Oryzias latipes: one gene and its partner. The protein of the gene in region 1 purifies or fractionates together with the protein of each later gene. This does not show direct contact. Links are inferred from orthologs where the notes say so. Each region holds a gene or a part of one and is shown in the gene's direction. Other genes may lie near its edges. The genes, in order: lats1 and sav1.

Region 1 (11,159 bases):
CCAGCTCCCAGCCCTCTGCCACCACCGTCACCGCCATCACGCCGGCCCCCATCCTGAACCCCGTCAGGAGCACCAAAGTCCATAAACCCGAGCCTCAGACAGCTGTCGCCCCCACGCACCCTCCCTGGATCCAACAGGGGGCGCTGCCGGGACCTACATACTCGGAGCCCTCCCTCCCCGTTTCCCAGGCTCCTGTTGAGGCGCCTGGCTATCAGGGCCCTCCCCCGCCCTACCCCAAGCACCTCCTACAGCCAGCGTATGTTGTTGGCACCAACAAGCTGAGCAGAGAGGAGGCGGCAGAGGAGGAGGCAAGTGGCGAGAACTCCAGAGAGAAGGCGCCAGAAAACCCTGAAACTGCGGCAGCAGAGAAGGAGAGGAAGCAGATCACCACCTCGCCCGTCCCCGTCCGCCGCAACAAGAAGGACGAGCCCAGGGGGGAGTCCGGGAGGGTGGCACTGTACTCCCCCCAGGCCTTCAAGTTCTTCATGGAGCAACACGTGGAAAACATCCTGAAGAACCACCAGCAGAGGATCCGGAGGAGGAAGCAGCTGGAGAGCGAGATGCAGCGGGTGAGGAACCTCCCCCTCTGGGTCCGACACCCCCATTCCCCCAATCTGTGGACGCCCTTTGACCTTTCTCTTGCTCTTTTTTTCTTAGCTGCTTTGTCTTTATTTCCTGATCTGAAAGGTAAACATTTCTGCTGCTTCAGGTCTGATCTTCTTCTTCTTCTGAGCTGCATCAGTCAAGCATGCTAGCATGTCCCCCAGCCCCCACCCCAACGTTTAACTTAACGCTTGAACACGGTTTGTGAAAAAGCTGCAGGTGGCGTGTTTTTTGCTGACTGTGCTTGTTTCCGTCTCAGGTGGGGTTGTCCTCAGAAGCTCAGGAGCAGATGCGGATGATGCTCTGCCAGAAGGAGTCCAACTACATCCGCCTGAAGCGCGCCAAGATGGAGAAGTCCATGTTCAAGCAGATCAAGACTCTGGGCATCGGGGCCTTCGGTCAGGTGTGCCTGGCCAGAAAAGAAGACACGGGGTCGCTGTACGCCATGAAGACCCTCCGCAAGAAGGACGTTCTCCTGAGGAACCAGGTGGCGCATGTGAAGGCTGAGAGGGACATCCTGGCGGAGGCAGACAACGAGTGGGTGGTGCGGCTCTACTACTCCTTCCAGGACAAGGACAACCTGTACTTTGTCATGGAGTACATCCCCGGGGGGGACATGATGAGCCTCCTCATCCGGCTGGGCATCTTCAAGGAGGACCTGGCGCAGTTCTACATCGCCGAGCTGACCTGCGCCGTGGAGAGCGTCCACAAGATGGGCTTCATCCACAGAGACATCAAGCCGGACAACATCCTTATCGACCGAGACGGACACATCAAGCTGACAGACTTCGGCCTCTGCACCGGTTTCCGCTGGACGCACGACTCCAAGTACTACCAGAGCGGTGAGTGCCGCCCGTGCGTTCAATTCCCTCAACCCGAGGAACTACTTCTCTGTATAATGACTGTTTTTTTAAGTTTGATTCAACCAAATTCTGAATATAGAAGACTTTTCTTGGAGGAAAAAAACCCATGACCGAAAAAATTGCAAAATTATGGCCCCAAACTGCTGCTTTAAAACACTTAAGTATTTCAAAACTCACTTTTGACTCAAGTTGATTGATTTTCCAAAACTTCTTCCCTTTACTGAACAAATTTTCCTTTTAAATAAACAAAACAAAAGTTCAACTTCAGGACAATTCACCCTAAAACAGTTCAATAAATGAAGAAATATCTGTATTCCTCCGAATTCACAGCGTTCTGCAGGTTTATGAGGCACTTTATAGAAAAAGATCTTCAGGACCGTGACGTTTCTGCTCCACCCGGTTTAAATAAAGTTTTAGGTGTGAGGGTCAGTCGTTCCTGTGCAGACTCTGAGGTCTCAGTTTTTGCTCCATGCCAGGAGACCACGTGAGGCAGGACAGCATGGACTTCAGCAAGGAGTGGGAGGAGTCTGCCAACTGCCGCTGCTCAGACCGCCTGAAGCCGCTGGAGAGGAGGAAGGCTCGGGAGCACCAGCGCTGCCTGGCCCACTCCCTGGTGGGAACGCCCAACTACATCGCCCCAGAAGTGCTGCTCAGATCAGGTGAGGGGGGCTGGCGATACGGGTGAGGGGTTGTTGATCCCACTTTCTCTTTTTTTGGTCGATTTTTCTACCTCATTTATATTAGAAGTGTATGGAGCTGCTGTATAAATGTGACTTCCTCTTTAAAATCTACTTAAAAAAACATTTACATTTAAAAATGAGTTTAATCAGATCATTAAAATTCTAATCTTATCATTTTAATTTTCCAATTTTTCAGTGGGTCTGTCTTTAAACTTTTAGTCATTTTAGGAATTAAAAGACTAACATTTAATGACTACAGATAAATACAAATAATTTTCTAATCTATAATCGAAAGATTTCATGCAAAAAAAGCTCAGAATGAAAGTTTTTGAAGCTGCCCCCCCCCCCCTTTTTACATAATGGTATCTTCTCTTATTTTACAAATGGAGGATTTTTTGCTTCCAAGTTTGAGTGACATCAGAGCTTTATATAAATATATATATTTATTATATATTTATATTTCCTGTAACATCACTTTTTCTTTGATTTTTAGCCAAATAAAAGCATTTTTGTCTAAAAATAACAAACTCTTAATGCTGCGTTCACACCAAATGCCATTTTTGTCCACTGCCTCTGCTGGACGCTCGTCCCGGAAATGTGTTCATAAAGTTGTGGCTCCTGATGCGTGTGGGCGGAGCTACTGTGAAGGTCTTGGACTGATTGCTTCATGGCAGCATTTACTGTTTGTGTCCTTGACCTTGTGTGGGAGAGACCAGGTTTATTTAGAAGAGTTCTACTAAAGCGTTGGTAATCACGTCTCCATGTCTGGGTTCATGACATCATCAGAGACTCTCCCGGTACAGTTAGCTTCACCGTCTGCTGCAGGAGACTTCCTGTCCCGCATTAGTCAGAGGAGGGAGTAAATAGAATAAAATTATCAGACCACAAATGGTAAACGGCGTGTGCTTGGATGGAGCAAAAGCGTTTTACAGTCACATTCCCATTCACACACTCCGCTGTTGAACACTGGCGCCAATCTGAACCACCAGGAGCAATGTGGGGTTCAGTGTCTTACCCAAGGACACTTAGACACATGGCAAGGCAGGAATCGAACCTGTAAACTTCCTATCAGAGGTTGACCGCTCGACCCCTGCACAATACCTTAGTATTATTGTCTCTATGCAAATGAAAGTTCAGGAGGAAGCCGATCCGGGTCTCCTCCATTACTTCATCGGTACGTTACCGTCCAAAGCTGAGCTCCTGATTGGTTGATGTAACGCAAATTCTTAGTCAAAATAAGAATATTTGAACCTCGGGCTGCAGAACCGCGTTCAGCTTGAACGCAGCTTTAGGCTTTCAGGGGTTATTTAGTGTTTTTTTTTTTTATAGCTTTAATGGTCCTCACGTGGTTCAGGTAAATCTCAAGAGTTTCCCTAACGATTCAGGATTCTTGTGGTTCATGTTGGACACGTCATCTCAGTGAGTTTGTGTTGAAGACTCAGACGCCGTCGAGCGTTTCCATTGCAGGAATGCACAGCCAAATTCTTCCGCAGCTGATTGGATTTTCTGCATAACTGCAGTTGTTTAGCGTGTGTGGATGTCAAATGTTGGTGTGTCCCTGCAGGTTACACGCAGCTCTGCGACTGGTGGAGCGTGGGCGTCATCTTGTACGAAATGGTGGTGGGACAGCCGCCGTTCTTCGCCAACACCCCATTGGAGACCCAGAAAAAGGTATACGAAGCAGCTGCGGTGAGGCGCCCTGAACCTGTGTGCCTCTGTCTAACGCCTCTGTCGCTGTGTTGGAAGGTGATCAACTGGAAGACCACGCTGCACATCCCCCCTCAGGCCAAGCTCAGCCCCGAAGCGTCTGATCTCATCGTCAAACTGTGTCGCGACCCCAAAGACCGCCTCGGCACCAACGGCGCTGACGAAATCAAAGCCCACTCTTTCTTCAGGACCATCGACTTCTCCAGTGACCTCAGGCAGCAGGTGGCGCCCTACATCCCCACCATCGCCCACTCCATGGACACCTCCAACTTCGACCCTGTGGACCCGGACAAACTGCGGAGCATGGACAGCGAGAACAACCACAACGACACGCTGACGTCGCTGTTCCGCAACGGCAAGCATCCCGAGCACGCCTTCTACGAGTTCACCTTCCGACGCTTCTTCGACGGCTACGGACACCCGTACAGCTGCCCCAAACCCATCGAGTACGATGAGGACTGCGAGGGTGTGCCCCCAGACGCGCAGGGCCAGGAGCAGGTCTACGTGTAGCGGTTCACGTCACGTGACAAAAGCCTGTTTCTACTTTATTTCATGAGGAAAAACTGGAGTCTGAGCTCACGTCTGGCTGTTCTGCTTTTGTCCCACACTGACCCTTCTAGGACAGACTGTCAGTAGATGTTAGAAGTTCCTTAGTTTCAGAATCTCCGTCTGATATCAGCCTCTTCCGCCGGACCCTTAAACCCCGCCCCCACATTCAGGAACAATCTACGGTTCAAAAGTGAATCGGCGTGCTCTTAAACCCCCAAACGACTTAATTTATTTAAAGCTGTAGATACCGCTTGTGTATGAGAATTGCGTTTATCTGAGGAATGTTCAGAAGTTGTCCTAATTTATATTAAAATGCGTTTCCATGGGGATTTCATAGCAGGGAGGAGTGGTTCCTATGATTCTTTGCTGTGCCTTTTGTTTTGATTCTGTGGTTTTACCAAATATTACGAAGGTTAATAATCAGACTGGCATTTAAATGAGTAGCAGTAGCTGATCGTACTACACTAGTCTTATTTTTCTAATTTATACTTAAAGTGTATTTATAAATGAAGTTGTAAACAGGTTGTACATAGCCCCGCCCTCTTCTTTCTAGACGGGCCAGTGTCTGTCTCTGACAGGAACTTTGAACTTTTTTCATCAACCAAAGCACTAAAAATGTGGGTTTGGAGCCCCAATAAACCTGCAGGTGGAGTAAACACTATGAATTATGGGTAATCACACTTTTTTAGCACCTGATGAAAGGTAAACTCTTCCTCGTGTGTGGTTGGGGGGGTGGGGGGGTGTTCTTGCTGTCCTCTTTAGGAAACATCTGAATGTAGTTGTCACGGCGACGCCTCGCCCCGCACTGCTTTTGTTTGCGTTGTTAAAGTTTATTTTTTGTACATGTGATTCTGGGATGAGGGGTCAGAAATAAACAGATTTGAAAGGTTTTCTTTTCCCTTAATCTACAGGTGGAAACTTGATGGAATATTTGAATTATATTTATTCAGTTACGGCAAAATGTGTTTGTGTTTATACCAGAAAAACTCGTGTTTTTACTTTTAATACAAAAAAATAAGACCATTAAAGAAAAATGAGAATCAAGTTGTAAAATGAGGAAAAAGTCATTGAAATCATAAAAGTAGTAAAATTTGAAATGTATTAAAGTTCAAGTCGACAACTTGAGAACAAAACTAAATTCATTTGAAAAGTGGCATTTTTACAGGAATAAAGTTTTCAACGCCACAAGGGGCCCCAAGTCTGGGTCGCCCTGTGCCGGTCCCCAACCGGAATAAAACGCAGGGTTGTCAGGAAGGGCATTCTGGGTAAAAAGCGGATTCACTGCGGCAATCCCTGAAGGGATATGCTGAAAGAGGAACAAGTTCAATCATCTTTGTTCAAATAATTTAAAAGCTAAATGTTACTTTTGAATTTTGAAAAAGCACGACTTTTCCGTGTAAAAAATGACATTTAAGCTTGTTTATTTTCCTTTAACCCTGGTGCTATCCTAGGCACTTTAACATTGGGAGTTGGGTCATCTAGACCCACTAGACAGTGCTCTGAACCATTTTTCTTCAATGATTTGTGATCTTCACTGGTGTCCATGGATTACATGAAATCTTTCCACCTTTATCCACCTTTGTCATGGTAGGGAGAACACGTCAATGTAAGGGTGGGGTCATCTAAGATAGCACAAGGACTGTTTTAGATTTTTATCCTTGTAAAATGCTGACCTTTTCCCGTCACATTTTTCTCATTTGTGCACGTTTTCTTTTACAGTGGCCCAAATACTCTTTCATAAATATGACTTAAAAAGCCCTAAAATTACAAAAATTTCCAGTCTACCTAAATTCCATCACTACTCCTTTACCCCTAAAAAACTACATGCGGGAATATCCAGTGCTCTGGACACAAACTCACTTTATTTATGACATCCTCCATTTCCTGAAGTTAAAAAAAAGAATATGAACATTTTATGTTCATCTGTTCTGATGAGGAAAACTAAGTACTTTTGTTCCAAATGACACATCAAAGTGCAATGCATTGTGGTCTATATTCACCATCGATACTGGTTTTGACAGTTCTGGGAATTTTCCAAGACACTGGATTTTGGAAATGTAGATTCGAACATGCGGACCAAATGGCAAACGCCCTAAAATAGTGGAGTAAGTAGTGAGGAAATTCAGAATCCCTTTCTACAACACAAAGTTTGAGCACTGCCACCACTAGATGGCAGCAAAGCCTGAAAATAACAACTAATGGTTGGAAATACAACTTCAACAGGAATTTACATGAGTTCATTTTTAGAGAAATGTATAGTTCCTAATTCAATTATTTAAACCTTTAGTGGGACACATTAAGCAGCATTTCTGTAAACTTTATGTTTAAAGTAAACATTCCCATCATGCTGCTGTACGTTTGGATCCGTCTAACTCAAGCGTGAAAAGGACAGAGGACAAACAAGTTAACTTAAACAAGCCTTTTTTTAATGGATCTGCAAAATTGTTTGAATTTCCAAAGAGACCGTGTGCACCTCCCACCCAGTTAGACACCATACAGAAACGCTTCCTCCTTTAAAAAGAGAAAATATCGGCATGCACAAAACTTTAACCAAAGTAGGTGGGGGTTAAAAAAAAAAAAAAGAAAAGTGAAAGAAACCACACAGACAAAAAGTAAAAGAAAACATTGATAAACAGGACATACTGTAGAACGCGGTTCTCTTAGCTGGAGAAGAAATTCAAACACTTTAGCTTCAGTCAGCTTCTTTGTGACGAAATATTATAGTAATTTCATTTGGTGGGTGTAGCTCCACCCACTGCACAGCCCCGCCCCTGTCTTCCTTTTAAGGCACAGGACAAAATAACGCCCACGTAGAAAAGGAGCCGGCCACGCCTCTGCTGCTTGGTTACAAATGATCCAATAAAGAAGAACCCCTCACTGAGTGTACAAAATATTCTTCCTACTTTGCTGATTCGCAGATTCCTGGGACTGAAGGGGGGAACGCCGTGGGTGGGTGGTGGGGGGGATCTTTTTAGTTAAAATGAGCTCTTTCACACTTTTATCGTCAACAACCTTTAAAAGAAAAGACAAGAAACGTGACTGGATTCCTCTTTTTATCAGAAATAAAAATGATTGGATGCAGAGTGAAAAGGGGGAGGAGTTAGGATGAGTGAAGTGGCTTATTGGTTTATTCTGGTCAGGTACACGGGGGGGCGTCAGTGTTCAAGAAAACTCATGAGACGGGTTAGAGGGCGAGACAGTTAGCAGTTAGAGGGAGACGTGTGTTTGCGTGTGGCGTTCAGCTGCAGCACTTGCTCTTCCAGCCTGTGACTCCGCCCCCGGTGCTGATGTCCACGTTTTCACTGTTGGGCTCTTTTACGGGCGTCTGGAGCACAAAGCGGACAGAAATCTGACGTCAGACGGCTTTCCCCCACCATGACATAGACATAGAACACACTCAGCTGATCCACCAACACTACAATTATTTTACAAATCTTTATTAAATTAACCCTGAAAATTCAACCCTAACAAACAGGTTCTATATTGCTGCGACCCAAAATGAATTTAAAAAAAAAGAAATTTGTCAAATGCAACTTTAAAAGCTTTAAAGCCCAGAAGAAAAGTTTAATCTTCACTTTAGAAATGTCCGTTTTAACCATGAAATTATTTTTTTTTTCCTTAAGGTGAACTGTTGTATTATTATTTTAGACAAAAACAGTTTTTATTCCATAATTATTCATTTTACAAATAAAAAAATATAGTTTTGATCCATTTTATTTTGGGGTGAGATTTCTGTCAAAATGAAGTGTTTGCATAGACAAACTTGTGAACAAAGCAAAACTTAATAAAAGGAATACATTTCTGTTGTAAACACGATTAGTCTTTGTTTCAAATACGACTTTTTCTATACAAACGACGAAAAGTCTTTTTCACATATTCACTCACATCTTTTCTTTTTTCTTTTTCCTCCAAAATGTGCTCAACTTTGTCTCCGAGCATAGGTTTCATTTTGACAGTCTTCTCTCTCCATATAGATCCATGGGATCGTCTGAACACATGTGAACGCACATCTATGTCTACAGTAGGGCTGCACGATATGAGGAAAACTTGCGATATGCGATATTAGTGATCAATATTGCGATAACGATAAATTTGCGGTAAATAAACAAATAGAAAAATGAACAAAAACATCATTCCCATTTCATTGCAACAGTTTAAAAATTATACTCCAAATGACCCTCATCGACATGGGGGAAAAACGTCAGGGTGGCTAACCCTGGTCCTCAAGAGCCTCAACCCTGTCTGTTTTCCAATTCTCCCTAGACTGCTCGATAATGATAACCAAAATCAGGTGTGTTCAGTCAATCAGGATGTGAAATCACTTGAGTCAGCCAATCAACAGCAAGCTGGTTAAGGAGAGCTGGAAAACAGGCAGGGTTGAGGCTCTTCAGGACCAGGGTTAACATAATAGGCCTCCATCTGATTGGTCAACAATGGGAAGGCGTCCATCTGATTGGTCAAAGCATAAAGGGATTTATTTGATTTGTTAAATGCTTCAAGCTGCTAGAAGATTGTTTTAACACATTTTGGGTTTGCGATTTATTGCGATATTCGCCGTCTTTTGCGATATGCATATTGCAGAGCTGGATATTGCGATAACGATAAATTTGCGGTATATTGTGCAGGCCTAGTCTACAGGCTTTACAAATAGTTTCTTAGGTAAAATAAATCATTTTAGTCATTTCTGCAGGTTAATTTAGTAACTGGCATATTTTACTTTTCCTACAATCTTAAAAGAAGGAAAATAAAAACTTTTACAGAAGATTTGGGAAAACCTGAGCTGTTTTTTTAGTTGTTGGACAACTTACACGGATGTAACAGCTGTTGTCATGCTTGGATCCTACATGCATGTCAGCATTTCTGGATCCACTGCAGTGGTTTCAAACCTTCTACAGTTAAATGAGATGCATTTATTTTGTTGACCTGCTTCTCCTGAAAATTGAATTCAATGATCTGCTCCATCCTTTTCTAATTCCTCATTTTCTGTTCATTAATGACGGAGCTTGGACTCTACAGTTTCCTCCTGCAGCTCCAGCTTGGAGACGTCTGGATGCCTTTAATGCAGCTTAAGCCTTTAGTTTCCTCTAAATCAATGGCAGCACTCTCAGTGTTCTGTGTTGTTAAACCACAAAGTGTCCATCCGTTCCTGAACGGCTGAACAAGCAGACGGTGATTGAAAAGCTGGACGATGCGAGCGGCTCACGCACCTTTTTGAGAATGTCTTCTGCTAACGTGAGGAAAGCTTTCTCGATGTTGATGTTGGCCTTGGCGCTCGTCTCAAAAAACCTAATCCCGTGCTCCCTCGCAATCTGTGGAGAGGGAACAAAACCAGGGTGAGCTCTGAAGGAGGTCCAGGACCAAAATAAAAGCTGCTGACGTCCCGCTCAGGACGCAGGCGGATCAGGCATCCACGCTGCGTCACTCTCCATTCTTGTGTCAGCAGCTGAGGCTTCTTCATCGGCAGACTGGACCCTGAGTTCACCAGCGGATCTCGGTTTTCTGAACTCAGCATTTCCAGGATGTTCTTGGAAAATCTGGTTTGAACATCTCTCTGCTGTGTCTGAAGGTTTGTGCTCATGTTGGACTCTTCAGGCTAATCCCCCTGTGGAGCCTCATCTTCAGTGTCCTCACCTGCTCTCCCTTGGCTTTTGGTACGACCCTCTTGTCCTCCATGTCACACTTGTTGCCTAGCAGCATTCTCTCTACATCCTCATTTGCATGCTGGGAACAAACAAAAACAAAACACAGATGTTTTGAGTTCTGGTTTCATTTAAAAAAAGTGAACTCATATTTTTCATGGCATTTTTTCCATTCATATTTCTTTATAATATAAACCTTATATTTAAAAATGACTGACAAGAAATCAAAAGTTTTGTTTGACCACAAATAGTATTATGATGTATGATGTCAAAACTACCCAAATACAAACAGATCCAACAGCCTATGAGGGACTTTTACCCTCAACCTCCGACTGACACGTATTCATGCAGGGGGATATTCCAGAAAGCAGGTTATGCTAGCTCCCACGGTAAGTTTGAGGCTAAGGAAGTGGATAACCTCAGCTTTCGGTTCCAGAAATGGAGGTATGTTTCAGGGTAGGTCAAGTTGCCATGGCAACTCATGCTCTGAACATAACCTGGTCTGGAGCAGGTTTAGTTGAAGGTTAGTTTGTTTTCAGAGAGGTGAAGCAGCATGGTGTGTCCATTTGAAGATGATTTAGTGGATGAAGAAGCTCAGATAATACTTCAGTGGAAAGACCACATATGGATGTTGGAAAGATAAACCTTTTTACTTTGATCTAACTTAATTATTTGCTTTAGTTAAGATAAATCATTTATTTTATTAAGTCAGTTTAAAAATAACATGTAGTTTTCAGACAGTTATTTTACTTTCATTCAAATTAATTCATTTAAGTAGGTGTAACAATCCCTTGCACCATAAGGGATTGTGGGATACCATTCCCTTTGCCTGTCTGGACGGATTTGGGTTTCAGTGTGGGTTTTTGACCAAATGTGTTTAGCTGTTTAGCTGTTTTACTGTATTTTGCCGAGTTATTTTATCCTACTTTGCTTAAGTCTCTGCACCATGAGTGAGAGGGAGGGAGAGGATGATGAGTTTATGTAGCACGCCTACAGTCAAATGCTGTAAAGGCAATGTTAGAAAATTCCCAAATGAACGTATGCATGTAGTGCATATTGTTTCGTTCTTTTTATTATAAAAATGAGTACATCTGCCGGCTCAAACTTAGACATATTCT
Region 2 (10,962 bases), on another chromosome or scaffold:
ATAACAAAAAAAATAGATCAACGGATCTTTGATTTTTTGTCGAGGAAGACCTGCTGATCTATAATTTACAGATCTGCGATCCACTGATTCTATAATGTGTGTACCACAGATCTATAATCCCTTGATCTATGTTCCATTGATGTCTGATCTATAGATCTATTCTCTTTGGAAGACCCGCTGATCCACTGATCTACATTCTGTGGGTCTATGATCCACTGATCTACATTATTCGGGTCTATGATCCACTGATCTACATTCTGTGGCTCTATGATCCACTGATCTAGATTCTATGTGTCTATGATCCACTGATCTACATTCTGTGGGTCTATGATCCACTGATCTAGATTCTGTGGGTCTATGATCCACTGATCTACATTCTGTGGGTCTATGATCCACTGATCTAGATTCTGCGGGTCTATGCTCCACTGATCTAGATTCTGCGGGTCTATGATCCACTGATCTAGATTCTGCGGGTCTATGATCCACTGTTCTAGATTCTGTGGGTCTATGATCCACTGATCTACATTCTGTGGGTCTATGATCCACTGATCTAGATTCTGTGGGTCTATGATCCACTGATCTACATTCTGTGGGTCTATGATCCACTGATCTACATTCTGTGGGTCTATGATCCACTGATCTAGATTCTGTGGGTCTATGATCCACTGATCTACATTCTGTGGGTCTATGATCCACTGATCTAGATTCTGTGGGTCTATGATCCACTGATCTAGATTCTGTGGGTCTATGATCCACTGATCTAGATTCTGCGGGTCTATGATCCACTGATCTAGATTCTGCGGGTCTATGATCCACTGATCTAGATTCTGCGGGTCTATGATCCACTGATCTAGATTCTGCGGGTCTATGATCCTCAGCTGAATCGTCATAGATCTGTAGGTCATAGATCTGCAGTAGGTCTCAAGCGGAAAACCTGGTGTTTATTCAAAGCTTTCTGGACCGTTTGCTTCCCCCTCGTGTTGCTCCCCCTCACCGGAGGTTAAAGGTCACCACACGGAGCACATGCTGATGTTTGACCCGTGGTTAAAGCGGTTCCTGGTGGTTCCTTCACCACATCAAACTCAGACTCTCATCTTTTTTCCCGTCTGGACGTCTTCATTCGTCGTAGAACTTTAGTCTGCGTTTGGGAAACCCGTTTCCATGTCGGTGACTCTTAAACATTTGCTCCTTCGGGCGTCTTCTCGTATCAAATTCCTGCGGGGCGTCTGGATCTTTCTGTGGAAAAGGTCAGGAATGACGATGAGGAGGTGAAGGAGGAGACCGCATTCCTTCTGCCGCAGAATGTGTCTAACTCCAGCCGGCGTTTAGGCGGGAAGCCCCTCCCCTCGCTCGCCTGCAGCTGTCGGACCCGCATTCCTCGCCGACCTTCACCGGGAGCGCTCCAGGAAGTGTTGACGGAGCTCTCCCTGGTGGAGCAGAGAGCTTCCTGTCCTCGGCGCTCCCGCTTCCTTCCGTTCGTCCCGCAGACCCGCCGCCTCTTTCCCACACAGAGAAAACATTCCGGTTTTCCCCGGAGTCTCCCGGTTTTCCCGATGTTTCTCTGTTTCCTTCAGGCATCAGCCAGATCCAGGCCAAGTCTCTGGGGAACCTGTCCAGCCTGGCGGGGGAGGACCTCCCCCTCCCAGCCGGTTGGACGGTGGACTGGACCATCCGCGGCAGGAAGTACTTCATCGACCACAACACCAACACCACCCACTGGAGCCACCCCCTGGAGAGGGAGGGGCTCCCCCCGGGCTGGGAGAAGGTGGAGTCCGCCGAGTTCGGGGTCTACTATGTGGACCACGTCAACAAGAGGGCGCAGTACCGACACCCGTGTGCCCCCAGGTCTGCTAACGCCCCGGTTTCAGGGCTTATTTCAACATTTAAACACCACAAGTATAAATGTTTACATTAATATCAAAACATTAAAAGTGAAACAATTACATTTTATTAGTGTAGCCTAAATTCACAACAACAGTGAATTATGTATATATAAATATATAGACCCCCCCATAACCATGGATGATGGCGTAGCTTTAAGGCGTAAACAGACATTTTTTCCTCCTAAAAAGCCTCATTTGATGCTCAGAAAACCTTCAGGTTGAAAATCAGCTCCGATCCGAACGCCGTCATTCTGCAGTTCAGCCTTTTCAGCTCATTCAACTTTTAGTAAAAAGCTTTTTAACGAAAAATGTTTTTAACATTTTTGTTGGTTTCGTAAAAGAGATTCCAGCCTTTTTGTGTTTGGCATATTTATCTGTGCTGCACATCTTTTTTCATCTAATTTCAGACGATATTGAGCTTCAACTTTTCTGAGAAATCTGAGATTTCTGTAAATCCATCTTTATGTTGGTATTTAGCTGATTGAACTTTTTCATTAATAACAGTTTTTTTAAACTATTATCCCATTTGTTATTTAGTTACTAATTATATTTATCCTTTGAAGATCTTTATAACTCTTACTCATTCAGCCATTTTAAGTGTTTTTCTCTTAATAATTTAGTATTATTTGTATTCATTATGCTGCTGTTTTACCATTTTATTGTGAAACCTGACTGGTTTTAGCTACGTTAGCGTTTTGTTCATGTTAGCGTATTTTTTGTGTTAGCATGTTGTCTATGTTAGCTTGTTATCTATGTTAGCGTGTTGTTCATGTTAGCGTGTTTACTATGTTAGCGTGTCCTTCATGTTAGCGTGTTGTCTATGTTAGCGTGTCGTTCATGTTAGCATGTTGTTCATATTAGCATGTTATCTATGTTACCGTGTTGTTCATGTTAGCATGTTGTCTATGTTAGCTTGTTATCCATGTTAGCGTGTTGTTCATGTTAGCGTGTTGTCTATGTTAGCGTGTCGTTCATGTTAGCATGTTGTTCATATTAGCATGTTATCTATGTTAGCGTGTTGTGTTAACATGTTGTCTATGTTAGCCTCTTGTCTATGTTAGCTTGTTATCTATGCTAGCGTATTGTTCATGTTGTTAGCATGTTGTTCGTGTTAGCATGTTGCTCAGCGTTGTGTAGCGTCTGTAGTTTGAACCCGTAAGACTGATATTCTTATAGAAACTGGTTTGTTCTGTTCTCATGAATCCATGGTCCAGCGTGCCGCGCTACGACCAGCCGCCACCCCTGCCCCCGCCTGTCACCTACCAGCCCCGCCCGGCAGAGAGGAACCAGCCGGTCCTGGTACCGGCCAACCCGTACCACACGGCCGAGATCCCAGACTGGCTGCAGGTGTACGCCCGCGCCCCGCTCAAGTGAGTCGGACCAGAACTGGTTTCTGAGAAACCTCCATCCAGAGAGTTGTTGGTTTGTCTGTTTGAACTGGAGAGAGGTTCGATTCCCGCCCTCTGCAGGCTGTTGAAGACCTTTCTGAGACCCGTCTGCTCCTCAGGTACGACCACATCCTGAAGTGGGAGCTGTTCCAGCTGGCCGACCTGGACACGTATCAGGGAATGCTGAAGCTGCTCTTCATGAAGGAGCTGGAGCACATCGTCAAGTCCTACGAGGCGTACCGCCGGGCGCTGCTGTCCGAGGCGGACGCCCGCTCACAGCGACAGCAGTGGTACAGCAAGAACTTTGTGGCCAACATGTGACGACCTCAGAGTTCATTTTAGAAAACCCATCTGTGCCTTCGCTTGATCCAAAGCATGGACGGGAAGAGGGGCGGCCCCACACGCCTCAAACAGAGGAGCTCTTTGCTGGGCAACAGTCAGAGAGCTGCAGCTTTAAAGTGTGGGTTCTGCTCCGACCCAAACCCCAACGTTTCGCCGTTCCTGCACGCCTCACCCGACAATCCTCCGAAGCTCGGCTGCCATTGATGGACGCCGCTCTGCGTTGGCGCTCGCTCGAAAAACCCGTTTTCCTGAACCATAAGCTACTAGAACGTTTGAATCTCACCAAATATGTGCAATTCAGCATTTTTTTTCTGGATTTTTAATGAATTTTTGTGGACTGGTCCAAATGAAAACCTCCGCTGCTCTGTCGGAGTCAGGACTCGAACACGCCTGAAACCCTGTACCTGTGCGGGAGCGTCCAGCCTGCTCCTATGAATAACCTTCAGAAGCGGTAACGTCTGCGGTGACGGAGGGATAAACGTTTACTTCATCAGCAAAACAAACATTTCTGCGTTTGTACATATTTGTCACATTTAGATGTTTCAAAATAAAACTCAAAGTTTAAAAAAACGAAAAACAAACCCAAAGACGTCCAAACCTGTAAAAAAGTCTTTTTCCTTCAGATCTAAAGACGGAGACTTTTCATCAGAACCGTGGTCACGATGGCGAGTGATGCGCATGAATGAGTGGACGGACGCGGCGGTTCTGCTGGGTTTTTGGTCCGATGGCGGTTTCTCTGAGAGCGTTCATGTGATGAGTGGAGAAGATGAGGCGGTGGGACGTTTCTGCGGCGTCCGGCCCGTCTTCCTGCAGCTCACCGATGATCCGAGGGATCCGGAGCGGCGGCGGCGGCATTCCTCCGCCCCGCCGGTCCGGGCGTAAAGCTGCAGCCGTGCAGGAGCGGCAGGACGATACGGCACAACAGCACTTTGTCACAACCATTAACACAACATGAGGAGCTGGACGCGCATGCGGCAGCGGCGCACCACGACACATCAACGGACGCAAGCGGCTCTCAGAGAAGCGGCGAGGAGGAGGAGGCTGGAGCTCCTCCAGCCGAGCTGGACGCCAAGACGCTCCCGGGGAGCGGCGCCGGCCGGAGTCTGGATCAAGGGTGCTCCTCCGCCTCTGTCCTCCTCTTCATCACCAGTTCAGTCCCTGCGGTCTTCGTCAGTCGCTCTTCTTCTCCTGCTCTGCTTCCTCGTCCGCTCGAGGTCCCGGGAAGGCGTGGTGGTACAGGTGTCTGTGATTGGCCGCCACGTTGTAGAGCTTGTAGAGCGCCTGTGAACACAGAGGGAGGGGCCGGATCGTTATTCGAACCCAAATGGACCCGACTGCACAAAGTTTTTATGGATCACGGAAACAGAATCAGAACTTCTGATGAACCGGCGAGTTCAGCAGCTGGAAGATCCGGAGCAGAAAGTTTCTCCATCATCCTCTCACGGAGAACACTGGACAGAGGAGAACCTTCACAGGAACCAAAGAGGGTCCAAGAACAGGAGGAGGACTCGACAGACCTCTTTGGACTCAGTTCAGGTCAAAGGTCACGACCCAACAGTCAGAAAGAGACTTTAGGACAAACGTGGATCCATGAGAGACGCTGCTGAGGAACAGGAACATCTGGAGGATCCACTGGACCTCTGGACTGATGTTCTGATCAGACACAAGAACATCTGGACTCACTTCCAGAGTCAGGCATGGAGGTGGCAGTGTGATGGTGTGGGGCTGAACGTCCTCCCTCAGAACAAAGATCTAAACTCAGCATGTTTGATAACCTCCATTTAAATCCACATTTTTTATCACCTCTCCTAAACATTTTCTGTTCCAAATATGCACAAATATATTTGTGTGTTTCTGCATTACAAATGAATAAAATTTAAATTATCGATGATAAACGTTTCATTTCATGTTTTGTTTCCTAATTTGCCTTAAATGCAGATCAGAGCTGCAAAGACACAAACGATTGGAAAGTTTCACCAAAATGAAGCAGAAAAAGCTCCACTTGATCCCAGATTTGACTTTTAGTGACTAAAACGTCTACAGAAGAAAGTTTCACCCAAATAAGGTTTGACGGTTAAAAGGCTGATCTGAAGTCAAAAACATTTTTAACTTTTTAAAAACTTTTCTCCGCAGTGGAACCAGCAGGGTTCAGGTTTGAACATGTCTGGGTGTAAAACAGACACGGGAGAACGTCGACCTCCATGCGTGGCGTGGAGCTGGCGTGAGCAGACATGCAGCGGCGTGGACGGGGGTCACTCACCTCGTTGGTGCTTCCCTGCAGAGGCGGGAAAAGAGATGAAAGCAGCGGTTAGTTCGGTCAAACGGAACCCAAACATCTGCTGAAGCTCTCTGCTGCCACCTAGTGGCTCAGAAAGTCATTTATACTCAAGGGCGAAGCCACGTGGACCGGCCTGCCCCCAGGTGTGACCCAGCCTCACCTGGTCCCACAGCGCGCCGGCCACCTGGTCGATGACGGCGCCGAGCTCCCGGTACTCCCCGGAGTAGCGGATGTACGCCCAGGTGCAGAGCGTGATGAGCGCCAGACCCAGGATCATGTTGCACAAGCTGGCGATGATGTCCACGCCCACGAAGCCCGTGATCCCCGCCGCCACGTACATGACGAAGATGACCACGAAGAGTGTGGCGGGCGTGCGGGCGGCGTGGAAAATGTTCTTGGAGTCGTTGTGCTTGATGTACTGGACGAAGACCTCGTCGATCTCGCCCTCCAGCTGCTGCAGGTACCTGCGGCTGAAGTCCTCGCCTCCCATCTTCTTGACGCCGCGGAACAGCTGCAGCGCCTCCTCCCTGACGCCGCCGTGGCGCGCCTGCAGCTCGCTGGGCGCCATGAAGGGCCGGTCGCCCCCGCAGACCTGGAGCCGGGAACAGGCGTGAGCCAGCGGGAACGCGGCGTGTCGGAGAAGCGGGCTCCACCCACCTGCTCCATCTTTTTGTTGTACAGGTCCTGCGCAGCAGCAACCGCCGCCAAGTTATTGGCCTCCGCCGTGGCCTGATGAGAAATGCAAAGGTCACTCAAGGAAGTTGGCTTTTGATTGATAGTTGAGGGAGAAGTTAAGGGGAACCCACAGAGAGCAGAAGTTCTTCACAAGTTTTTCCTCCTTTATGCTTTGAATACAGTAATAGGAAATCTAATTTTCTGGTTTTCAAACAGATCTAAAACATTTTCCAGAAAATAGAGATTTTGAAGAATCCTGAATCTTTTTTCTGATTCTGTGTGTTCGACCCCCTTAACTTCCCCCTGAACTCCTCACGGCCCCCACTGCCGTACCTGCAGCATGGACTTGGGGTGGGGCAGCTCCTCGCCCTGGTAGATCTTGATGTACGCCTGAAACACAAAGCTGTGAGACGCGTCCAGACGGAAGTCGGCGTCTCCTCCGCGCCCGCTCTGACCTTGAAGTACTCCAGCAGGCCTCTGCAGGTGATCCTGCTGCCGTTGATCTCCTTCACGTCGATGTTTCCAGGACTGAGGAGCCACGGAACCAGAACCTTCAGGTTGTTGATGAACTCGCCATCGATCTCTGGACGGAAAGACGGGACAAGGGAAGAGGTGAGGCCGTCCAGACCGGGTTCTGTTCACCTGCTTTCAGTCCAGTTCTGACGAACCGGAGAGAACCTGCAGGAGTCTTTGCTGCTGTGGCTGAAGAAGCTTTGATCAGCTGGTCACAGCTGCACACGACCGACTCATTAGAAAAAAACAACACTTTTCAAAATGGCGGCTTTTCTGTTGCTTTATCTCCATAGCAACCATTCCAGGTTTGGGGTGTCGGGGGGCGATGAGCGGGTTTTCGTCATTTTTAGAGAAATCAGCAGAAAAAAATGTTTGGATTTCCTTGGCAACAGAGGTATTTTGGTTAACCACGCCCACATTCCCTAATATGGTCGTATCCTATGTCATCTCGTTTCCGTTAGCTTGTATTTCAATTAACGTTGTGTTTTAATTCTGATCATACACACTTCCATCAACCCTTTTTTGATACAGGTTTTGATGATTTTGGTTGTTTTTATTTGGTTCTGGTCAGAATGTTAGAATCCACCACCTTGAGTTTAACAGCTTTTAAAGCAAAGTTCAGCGTTTGTGGACCTGCAGCTCCTTAACGACCCGGAAAAGTGAGCGGAGTCTTTGGTTTCAATCAAGTTATTCCATGAGAATGTCGTTCCTCTTTCTGTAGAAAAAAAAACTCCACCTTGATTTAGTGTTTGACATTTTTCCGCTGCGCAAAAAGAAACCAGACGGCGTCCAAAAGCATCTCATTATTAAAGTATTCAGTTTGAACTAAATCAGAAGATTCCAACCTAAAAGCAGCAGAAGTCCCTACCTTTCATTCTCCCGTCAAAGTGGGGGTTGGTGGCCACCTTCAGGCCGGGGTGGGGCATCAGGAAGCAGGAGATGTTGGTGAAGCAGGAGTGGATGTGCTTCCGGACGTTCTGCAGCTCCTCGTGCTGGTTCTCCGAGATCTGCGGCACAAATTCGGCTCCGGTTAAAGAAAAATCGGCGCCGCCGTTGGGCCGGAGGAGAGTCGGCGAGCTCTGACCTTCAGCCTCTTCTCCAGGAACTTGGTGCCTCCTTCCAGGCCGTATGGGAACTCGTACGGAAAGCTCCAGTCTCGCACCAGGAAAATCATGGACTAAAGAAGGAAGGAGGAGCAGCGGCTTAAACCTTCAACACATCTCTGTGGTCGCTGCATGAAAAATGGGTGGAGCCCCTGCTGCTCACCTGGAAGGGTTTGAGGAAGGTCTCCTCCATGGCTAACCTCCCATACTCTGTAAAAAGCTGAAACCAAAAGCAGAATCTTGAGGTGCAGGAGTTGATCTGAAGCTTCAGGATGTCTGTGTTCATGACTGTTAGTTGTTTGTTACCATGGTGACGTTACTGAAAAGGGGGGTCAGAATATGTCTGCATCTGACTGACCAAGCCCCCCCACAGACACACACACACACACACAATCCACTCTGTGTTCCTGAATATAAAGCAAACCAGGAAGTACCAAATGCTGCAGTTCCTGAACTGACCACTAGAAGCTGGTTTCAGAAGGAAGGAACTCAACTTTGACATTTTTATTGTCTGTGGAGGGGTGTGTGTGCTGGTGTGTGTGTGCAGGTGTGCGTGTGCAGGTGTGTGTGTGTGTGCAGGTGTGTGCGTGCAGGTGTGTGTGTGAGCAGGTGGGTGTGTGTGTGTGTGTGTGTCTGTGTGTGTGTTGCAGGTGGGTCTTTTCTTCCCCGTGAAGTTGTCTGTAAGCAGACAAACGTCTGAAACTCTGGACAGTTTTACCTGCAGGTGTTGGAGGTCGTCCTCCTGCACATTCTGTGAGATGTTGTAAACCTAAAAGATTAAGCAGAAACATTAGAGAACGGACAGAAAAATGGTTCCTGCAACGGTTCTCCAGACGAGACGGGAAAAAAAGTTCATTTCTATGTGGTCTGTGACATGGTTTCATATTGAAGGATGTGTTAGAGAGGCAGAGACTCTCTAAACTGAAAGGGCGTGTCCAGCAATGGAGGAGAGTTTGGAATGATCATCTACAGAGAAGAACATCTGCCGATGCCAATCAAGAGCACTCGATTGAAGTTGATGAGAAAAACATTTAAGGTCATTTCTGCTGTTTGTTCTTGCCATATGTGGAGCTTCAGTAAGCTCCGCCCACCTCAGACTGAGGAACTGCAGAAGATCGAGGAGCCGCATCAGAATGTCCGACATTAAGGTATCATCAGCCAAAGTCCAGCTGAGCTTTGAGGTCAAGGTGGTGATGTTCATGAGAACGTCACCTGGAACATCTGACTAACTGACAAGCACGGTGGTGGAGGTGTAATAATTAGCACCGTAGTTGAATATTTGACAAAACTGAGCAGCAACCAAACCATTCAAGGATTTCATCTGGTATTCTGATGCCTGCTGAGAATTTATTTTACATGCACTTCAGGTGTGCCTGCAGTCTAGGTGTGCCTGCAGTGGTCAGGTACCTGCATGGAGCTTATCATGGTGCTCAGAGCAAACACAGTGGCGGAGTCCCTCAGGGTGGACTGGCTGTCAAACGTTCCCTGAGTGTCCATCAGCAGCACAGCGACCTGCGGGACACAGAGGAAGACGTTTGAAGGACCTTTGTCTCCTGCAGATGAACTCTGGTTCAGGTCACTTCAGTGTGACGCAGAGGAGGAGGAGAACCGAAGGGAGGAGGTGCTGTAAGCTCCTTGTGTTTGAACCAAACAGCCACAGTGTGAGTCTGAAGAAGCAGGAACCTTAAAGAAGTATGGAGATGCATGCTGGGTAAAGGAGGAGCAGTGGGGAGCTGAAGAAACTCCTTCAGAGATGATCCTCAGAGGAGCCGACGGTTCTTCTCCCTGATGTTTTCTGTTCCAGTTTGACATTTTTGGACAACAGCGCCCCCCAAAGAGCAGCTGATGGAGCAGCAGTTTGGTTCTCTTCGGAACGGAAACCGAGCCAGGCGGGACAACAGAAGTCATTCTTACCTTCCGTCCATCCGGTTTGTCCACCAGAAAGACCTCGCTCCAGATCTGGATCCCCGTGGTCTCCCTCTCAGAGCCCCCCCTCCAGGAGAAGCCGGTCAGAGGCTCGTCCGAATCTCCCACCCAGTTTTCCGTTGTCTGTGCAACAGAAGCTGTCAGATGTGCTGAGCAGGAGGTCAGGGGTCAAAGCAGGCTCTGTCAGACTCACGTGGTTGTACATGAAGCGCAGCATGAAGTCCATCAGGAAGGACTTTCCCTTACGGAAAGCCCCCGCCACAGAGATGGCCACCACCTCCCGGTCCTGCACCTCCTCGGCCAGCAGGATGCGGCTCAGCGCCGCCTCGTCCAGCTCGAAGGTGTGGTCGTCTTTGACCAGCAGCACCTGGACGGGGCGGGCCCGTCCGTCTGGCTCCTCCTCCTCCGAGCTCCAGTCGTAGACATTTTTATCACTGAGGGACCCTGGAGGACAAAGCAGAGGGGGGGTCTCAGAAGAGGGGGGTAAACAGGAAACAGCTCGTCATCACTTCCTGTCCAAAGACGACAAACTTTGTTCTTGAAATGAATCTCTTAGGATTTCAATCGTGTTTGAATCAACCTTTATCTAAAAGATAGAATATCCAAAAATCCATTTACCCAAAAACTGTTTTTATTATTTTATTAGTTCATTTGAAATAATCCATCCCATAGTTTCCAGCTTCTAGAATGATTCCCTGGAGGTTTCAGTAGCACCTTCTCGGAGCTGTTCTGTGCGGTTCCTGCGAGGCGAGCAGAACCTCCAGAGGATGATTCCGCCGGCGGCGGCGTTTCCAGGAGGAGGCGTGTTTTCCTGCAGAGGCCTCGCCCCAGGCCCGGCGTCCGCCTGATCCAGC

What was found.
Region 2: the proteins of lats1 (region 1) and sav1 purify together in Homo sapiens (affinity purification with western blotting; 3 studies listed by BioGRID). This does not show direct contact. The link is inferred for Oryzias latipes from reciprocal best matches to the Homo sapiens genes LATS1 and SAV1.

The regions. Positions count from the first base shown.
Region 1 is NC_019882.2:17,718,921-17,730,079, forward strand, and holds the end of lats1 (serine/threonine-protein kinase LATS1), read left to right. Parts: coding exon 1-569; intron 570-862; coding exon 863-1,445; intron 1,446-1,942; coding exon 1,943-2,125; intron 2,126-3,710; coding exon 3,711-3,817; intron 3,818-3,892; coding exon 3,893-4,363; 3' UTR 4,364-5,292; downstream 5,293-11,159. Other genes in the region: rab10 (ras-related protein Rab-10), read right to left, coding at 7,641-7,727, 9,610-9,711, 10,034-10,123. UniProt on the Homo sapiens protein: Negative regulator of YAP1 in the Hippo signaling pathway that plays a pivotal role in organ size control and tumor suppression by restricting proliferation and promoting apoptosis.
Region 2 is NC_019880.2:1,309,017-1,319,978, forward strand, and holds the end of sav1 (protein salvador homolog 1), read left to right. Parts: intron 1-1,574; coding exon 1,575-1,845; intron 1,846-3,097; coding exon 3,098-3,253; intron 3,254-3,390; coding exon 3,391-3,592; 3' UTR 3,593-4,783; coding exon of another isoform or gene 4,784-4,894; 3' UTR 4,895-5,508; downstream 5,509-10,962. Other genes in the region: atl1 (atlastin-1), read right to left, coding at 4,784-4,894, 5,874-5,888, 6,052-6,483, 6,549-6,620, 6,900-6,956, 7,022-7,149, 7,948-8,086, 8,164-8,256 and 5 more. UniProt on the Homo sapiens protein: Regulator of STK3/MST2 and STK4/MST1 in the Hippo signaling pathway which plays a pivotal role in organ size control and tumor suppression by restricting proliferation and promoting apoptosis.